2 linked regions of the Canis lupus familiaris genome follow. The protein of the gene in region 1 interacts with the protein of each later gene in a pairwise test. Links are inferred from orthologs where the notes say so. Each region holds a gene or a part of one and is shown on either strand. Other genes may lie near its edges.

Region 1 (2,805 bases):
CCTGGACTTGAAGCTTCATTATGGTAGAGACTTTGATGGCCTTTGTTCTTTTGTTCATTCTTGTAGCCCCAGGCCTAGCAAGATGCTTGCTGCACAGCAGGTGCTCAGCAAACACTCACTGAATGAGTGGAGACAGGGTCTTCAGGGCTGCAAGGTGTTGAGGGGGAGGAAAGCCTGAGAATCTGACTTTCACACTTGATCATTGCATTGGTTTGATGTGAGGATGAAAAAAAGCTCTGGTCTAAAAAAGTGCTCAGAAAAAGAAAAGTGCTCAAGTGGTAGGCAATTGCAGGACAAAAAAATTTACTGTGGTGACTGAGTTCACCATGAGTTGCAACTTCTTTGGTAAAAGGGAATAACCAACCTATGGTGGAAGGTTGTTCTACAAATTAGAAGTAAGCCAAAGAAAGTACTCTCTTTGCCTGTGTCTCTGCCTCTTTCTCTTTGTCTCTTGTGAATAAATAAATAAAATCTTAAAAAAATAGCTTATATATATATAAAAGAAATCCATATTTATTGTACAAAATACTAGAAAATACATAGCAGTTTAAAGAAATCAAACATCATCCACAACTCCACCACCCGTAAATAACCACTCTTTAATACTTTTGGCTGCACTATGTGTTCTTCCATATTGCTTTCATGTAGTTTGAGGGCCTAATTATGTTTTTAAAAATTTGTGAGGAGGCAAGTAGAAAAGTATAGATGGCAGAATTAGAATATACTAACTTGATGCATACCTTAGGAGACTTCAATTAATTAATTTATTTTTAATGATTCATCAATAGTCTTCTTCTGATGGGGCGGACCTTGCCTTGGCTTCTTCAAAGCCAGTGACTTCTGACACACCCGAGAGAAAAATGAAAGACATTCTGCATGACCTAGAAGAAATCCAGAAAAAATTACAAGAAAACTTCACATGGAAAGGGGCCCTTGAAGAACATCTGCAGGGTGAATTGATTTTATTTTGGGAAAGAGGATTAACTATGGAAGTTGGGGGAAATGACAAAGTGTTCCATGGCTTTGTTTTGGGGGGATGAGGATCCCAGAGCCCAGCTGTGGTGTTGTAAATGAGGAAGGAGTGGGCTGAGGTGTTTTTGTGGCTAGCTATGTGTTTTGGATGTAGCTGGAGGTGTGATGTAACATAAGCCTTTAAAAGATAGAAACTCATTTTCTGAGACCTATACATCCAGAATCTAGACCTGATTTTGCTGCTTGCCTGTGTTATCTACCTGGAGATTCAAAAATAGGCTGCTTTTTATGTTTAATTATTAAATGTCTTTGTTAACAAAGCATGCAACTTTGTAAATCATCCTTGATAAGTTCTATTAAACTGTCATCCCTGGTGAGTATACTAATAGTAAACAGTAACAATGCAGGAAAGAACCTCTCTGTCCTGACTTTGTAGGTTCTCTATTATAACCCTTGTCATGACTGAAGAACAATTCACACCTGCCCCTTAGACATTAGCCTGGACTCCTGCTCTGCCTCCTGCTCCACTGCCAGCTTTCTATACTTTAGAGACATGTCTCTTATAACTCTTTCTATGTTTAAATGATCTTACTCTGCTTAAAAAGTTATTTTTTATTTAGGTGGAGAAACATGATCCCTTGGGAAAAGTTTCTCAAGGAAACAAGTTAGAACATACTTTATTAGCTGCTGCAAAAATTATCTGAGAAATAAGTGCCCTCTTGGCTCCTGTGTGCCCCTAAATTTAGATTGGGTTCCTTAGTGATCTTATTTACTGACACATATTTGAAATCAATATTTAGGGGCTCCTGGCTGGCTCAGTTGGTGGAGCATATGACTCTTGATCTTAGAGCTGTGAGTTCAAGCTCCATGTTGGGCCTAGGGATTACTAAAAAATAAAATCTAGAAAAAGGGAGAAAGAAATGTTTAGATTTTGAGGTTAAATTTAAAATTTTAAATTCAGAAATCAAAACAATATAACAGCATACAATGAAAATCTCTTTCCCACCCTTGTCCAATTTTCCTATTGCCCCTGTCTCAGTTAACCACTTGTATTAGTTTCTTGAGTTCCCATTCAGAATTTACTTGTGCGAGTGACAGTTTAAATCACAGACAGGGGGTCATGGGTATTCTGGGTGTTAGAATGCTGTGACCTGCTGGAACTGTAATTTATTTGATAGATATGCATCTGACACTTACTTCCTATGTAGCTGGCACTACGCTTGGTGCTTAGAACATAAAGGTGAACAAGGTCTCTACCAGCAAGAAGCTTCGAGGGAAGCTGTTACCAGGGAAACGGGCAGTAAAAAAAAAAGGTCCATGGTGAGAACATGGGGCTGAACATACCTGAGCTGGATGTTCTGCCTTGATCCAAGTCTGACACTAAAAAAATCCACTAAAGAAACGTGATGAAGCAGGGCAGCCCCGGTGGCGCAGCGGTTTAGTGCCGTCTGCAGCCTGGGGTGTGATCCTGGAGATCCAGGATTGAGTCCCACATTGAGCTTCCTGCATGGAGCCCGCTTCTCCCTCTGTCTGTGTCTCTGCCTCTCTCTTCACTCTCTCTGAATGAATAAATCAATAAATCTTTAAAAAAAAAAAAAAAAAAAAGAAATGTGATGAAGCAGACAAGCCATATGCCCTGATCATGATGTTTGGATACCTTCTATTTGCCTTTTTTTTTTTTTTTTTAATTTATTTATTTATTTTTTTTATTTATTTATGATAGTCACAGAGAGAGAGAGAGAGAGGCAGAGACACAGGCAGAGGGAGAAGCAGGCTCCATGCACCGGGAGCCCGATGTGGGATTCGATCCTGGGTCTCCAGGATCGCGCCCTG
Region 2 (3,912 bases), on another chromosome or scaffold:
GAACTCCACCACTCTCCTATCACTCTTTACACTACTCCGGTATTTCTCATTCTGGGTTGTGGTTGTATTGGTGGCATTCTTTTGAGGGAGGAGGACCGGGCAGATTGTCCTGATCAGATTATGGAGTGATCCTAGTACTCCTTTCCCCAGGTCAGTGACTGTATCAGACATGGAAGGGAAGGAGGGGTGGTAGTGTTAGGTATTCATTCACTGTTCTGTTAGCAAAGCTAAAGTGAGCACAGGTAGAAAGAAAGAAAAGAAAAGAAGAAAGGAGAAAAGTAGCTGTTTATTTAATCAGCATAACAGGAATCCAGGGGCATGTGTCACTGCTATTTTCAAATATTTGCAGGGCTGGGATGGAGAAGAGATAACATGTAAATTCTGCGCAACCGCTACGGGCTCCCCATCACTGAACATGTTTAAGCAGGAGACTGGTGACCAGGTGTAAGGATGCTGGAGGAAAGAATTTTTTAATTTAGAGTCAGATAACCTTTAAGGTACCTTCTACCTCTAAAGTCTTGGCAACACTAGCGTGAGTCATCAAGACATTACAATCTGGCTGTGAGTCACAGTCGCCAACGCGCTGAAGGCCCGAATCCTCCACTCCCCCAGGGCTGGCACATCACCGCGCAGCCAGGCGAGGAATTCCAGCCCGCGGGCTGCATAGAACTTCTACAACAAAAACTTCTCTAAGGCTCCGCGCGGCCAATTAGCTGATTCCAGGCTTCTGTTACGACCAACAGATACAATAAAGCACGCATCCCAGACGGGACCTGGCAGAAAGACGCGCACCCGGACGCTCCGAGGGACGGGCTCCGCGGCACTCTGCCGAGGCCACACAAAAGCCGCCTGAAGCCGGCGGCAGGTTACGGGCGGGGGCGGGGGCGGGCAGGGTGGCCCGGGGTGAACGGGCGCCCAGCGAGCCGACACGCGCAGGGCACAGGGACAAAGGCCTCGGGGACAGCGCGCTGGGCCCGGACACCCGCACGAACGCCCCGGCCGGAGTGGCCAGCAGCCGGCGTGTGGGCCCCGCAGGGTCCTGTCGGCCTCGGGGGAGCCCGCGCTGGGGCCGGGGGCCGGGGGGGTCGGGGGGACCGGGGAGACCAGGGGGACCAGGGGACCGGGAGGCCGGGGGGACCAGGGGACCGGGGGCTGGGGAGACCGGGGAGGCCGGGGGGACCGGGGGACCGGGGGCTGGGGAGACCGGGGAGGCCGGGGGCCGGGGAGGGCCAAAGGGGCCGGGGGGGGGGACCAGGGAGACCGGGGGCCGGGGGGGGGGCGGGGAGTCTCGGGGGGACCGGGGGGGCGGGGAGAGTGGGGGGCGGGGAGACCAGGGGGACCAGGGGACCGGGAGGCCGGGGGGACCAGGGGACCGGGGGCTGGGGAGACCAGAGAGGCCGGGGGGACCGGGGGACCGGGGGCTGGGGAGACCGGGGAGGCCGGGGGCCGGGGAGGGCCAAAGGGGCCGGGGGGGGGGGGGACCAGGGAGACTGGGGGCCGGGGGGGGGGCGGGGGGGCGGGGAGTCTCGGGGAGGACCGGGGGGACTGGGGGAGTGGGGGGCGGGGGGGCGGGGAGTCTCGGGGGGACCGGGGGGACTGGGGGAGTGGGGGGCGGGGGGGGGCCGGGGATCGGGGGTCCAAGGGAGCTGAGGCTGGGGACCGGGGGTCGGAGGCGGCGGGGCGATCGGGGACCGGGGGCACCGGGGGCCGGGGGAGCCCGGGGGGATCGGGGGGGCCAAGGGGGCCGGGGGGACTGGGGGCCGGGGGAGCCGGGGGTCGGGGGGGTCTGGGAGGACCGGGGACTGGGGGCCGGGGATCGGGGGCTGCGGGAACCGGGGGCGGGGGATCGGGGGTCCAAGGGAGCTGGGGGCTGGGGGCCGGGGGTCGGAGGGGGCGGGGGGACCGGGGGCACCTGGGGGCGGGGAGGGAGGGGGAGCCGGGGGGACCGGGGGAGCCGGGGGTCGAGGGGGCCGGGAGGACCAGGGGGACCGGGGCGGGGGGGGGCCGGGGACCGGGGGCGCATCCCGACGCGGGTGGCTCGGGGCAGGCCGGGAGGCGCACCTGCCCGCGGGGCCCTCGGGGCGGCCCCCGGCCCCCGCCCGTCTCCTCCGCCGCCGCGCAGCCCCCGGCCTCGCGGGACCTCGGAGGGTCCAGACCGCCGCCGCCGCCGAGGCCGGCCCCCAGACCCCCGCCGGGCGGCCCGACCCGACCCGACCTGACCCGACGCCGCGGTCGTGCTGCGGAGTGTGCGGCAGGGCTGCCTCCCCGCCGGGCCCCGGGCCCCGGGCCGTGCGAGCGGGCGCCGCCATCGCGGGCCGCGGCCGCAGGGAGACGAGGGGCCGCGCCGGGCGCCGCTTTACCTGAGAGACCAGCGGGAGCAGAGTCTGCTCCACCGAACGAGTTTTGATCTCGAGTCCCGAGTCGAAGGCGAAGCCCGACGGGCCGGCGCCGCCGACGCCGGCCGGGCCCGAGGAGGCGGCCATGGCCCTCGGCCCGTCGCGCAGCCGGGACGCCGCGCCACTGCGGACCCGCCGCCCGCCGCCCGCCGCCCGCCGCCCGCCAGCCTGCACGCCCGCCGCCGCCGCCAGGGAACCGCGCCGCCTGGGCCACGCCCCCGCCGAGGCCACGCCCCGCCGAGGCCACGCCCCGCCGAGGCCACGCCCCTCTGAGGCCTCGCCCCCGCCCGGGCCACGCCCCCACGCGCTCAGGCCTGGGGTCCGCCCCGCATCCCCGCTCCATCTGGTCCCCGCCAGGACCCGCCACACCAGACACCTGCCACCAGCAACGCTTTTCGTCCTCCTGGTAGGTGACTCGTCTTAACTCCGAGTTCCCACGAGGACTTCTGGAAGCTGAGCTAACTGGTGGAGCAGAACCACAGTCAAGTCTGCCGGAAGGGTCTTTTACCCTGACGCAGTTATTCTAACGAAAAAGGGTCTTTCTGCAGCTTCTCCTGTAGGTCCCATTTCCCCCTCCTCCTCCTCTGACCCTATCTTTCTCACAATTTGGGCTGGATTGAGAATGAAACATTTGGTAATGCAGTCTTTTTTTTTTAATTTTTATTTATTTATGATAGTCAGAGAGAGAGAGAGGCAGAGACACAGGCAGAGGGAGAAGCAGGCTCCATGCACCGGGAGCCCGAAGTGGGATTCGATCCCGGGTCTCCAGGATCGCGCCCTGGGCCAAAGGCAGGCGCCAAACCGCTGCGCCACCCAGGGATCCCCTGGTAATGCAGTCTGAAGGAGTACGTCTGGGTTCGTAGCAACGAGGCAGTGATTTGGGTATCTTTTAGGCTAAAAGGAAATTAACTAGGGCATATGGAAAAGCTTCACCAAAGGGGGCTTGAACTCATGACCCGAAGATCAAGACTTAAGCTAAAATCAAGAGTCGGCTTCCTAACTGACTGAGCTACCCAGGCGCCCCTAAGACTACTTTTCAGGATTGCTTCTCCCCTAGGGCCTAGCACAGAGTAGTTTCCTAAAGGCTGTTTATCGATTGAGAAGATCATTAGTATACATTTCTCACTAAACCACTTAACAGTAAGGCTAAGAATCAGGAAGCCCCGACATGATCAGATGGGACGGAGAACAGACCACCCCTTTCCCCAGGAGTTCCAGAAGCAAAGCCAAAAGGTTGTCAGAAACACACACCACCCTGTGAGGGGATCCTTGGCTTAAGTACTGAGAGACATGGAGAAATATTTGTGAATTACCATATCTGCCAATAAGCAACTAGCAGAGTAGAAAATCTGAGGCTGGCGAGTCCACCCCTTCACTTTTACCCAGATCATTTCTCCATCCATGTCAGATTGATGAGCTCAATACCACCAACTCCAGGTGTCAGAGGCTCTTTGCCAAGCACTGGTGAGATGTGCTTCAAGTATTCCCACTTGGCGTTCAGCTCCGTCTGCCAGTG

What was found.
Region 2: the proteins of RNF135 (region 1) and CTNNAL1 interact in binary tests that used the Homo sapiens proteins (3 or more experiments, as listed by UniProt). The two-hybrid records come from large-scale screens. The link is inferred for Canis lupus familiaris from reciprocal best matches to the Homo sapiens genes RNF135 and CTNNAL1.

Annotation. Positions count from the first base shown.
Region 1 is NC_049230.1:40,767,954-40,770,758, reverse strand, and holds part of RNF135 (E3 ubiquitin-protein ligase RNF135), read left to right. Parts: intron 1-788; coding exon 789-951; intron 952-2,805.
Region 2 is NC_049232.1:64,526,995-64,530,906, forward strand, and holds the start of CTNNAL1 (alpha-catulin), read right to left. Parts: upstream 2,566-3,912; 5' UTR 2,484-2,565; coding exon 2,361-2,483; intron 630-2,360; exon of another isoform or gene 542-629; coding exon of another isoform or gene 509-541; intron 1-508. UniProt on the Homo sapiens protein: May modulate the Rho pathway signaling by providing a scaffold for the Lbc Rho guanine nucleotide exchange factor (ARHGEF1).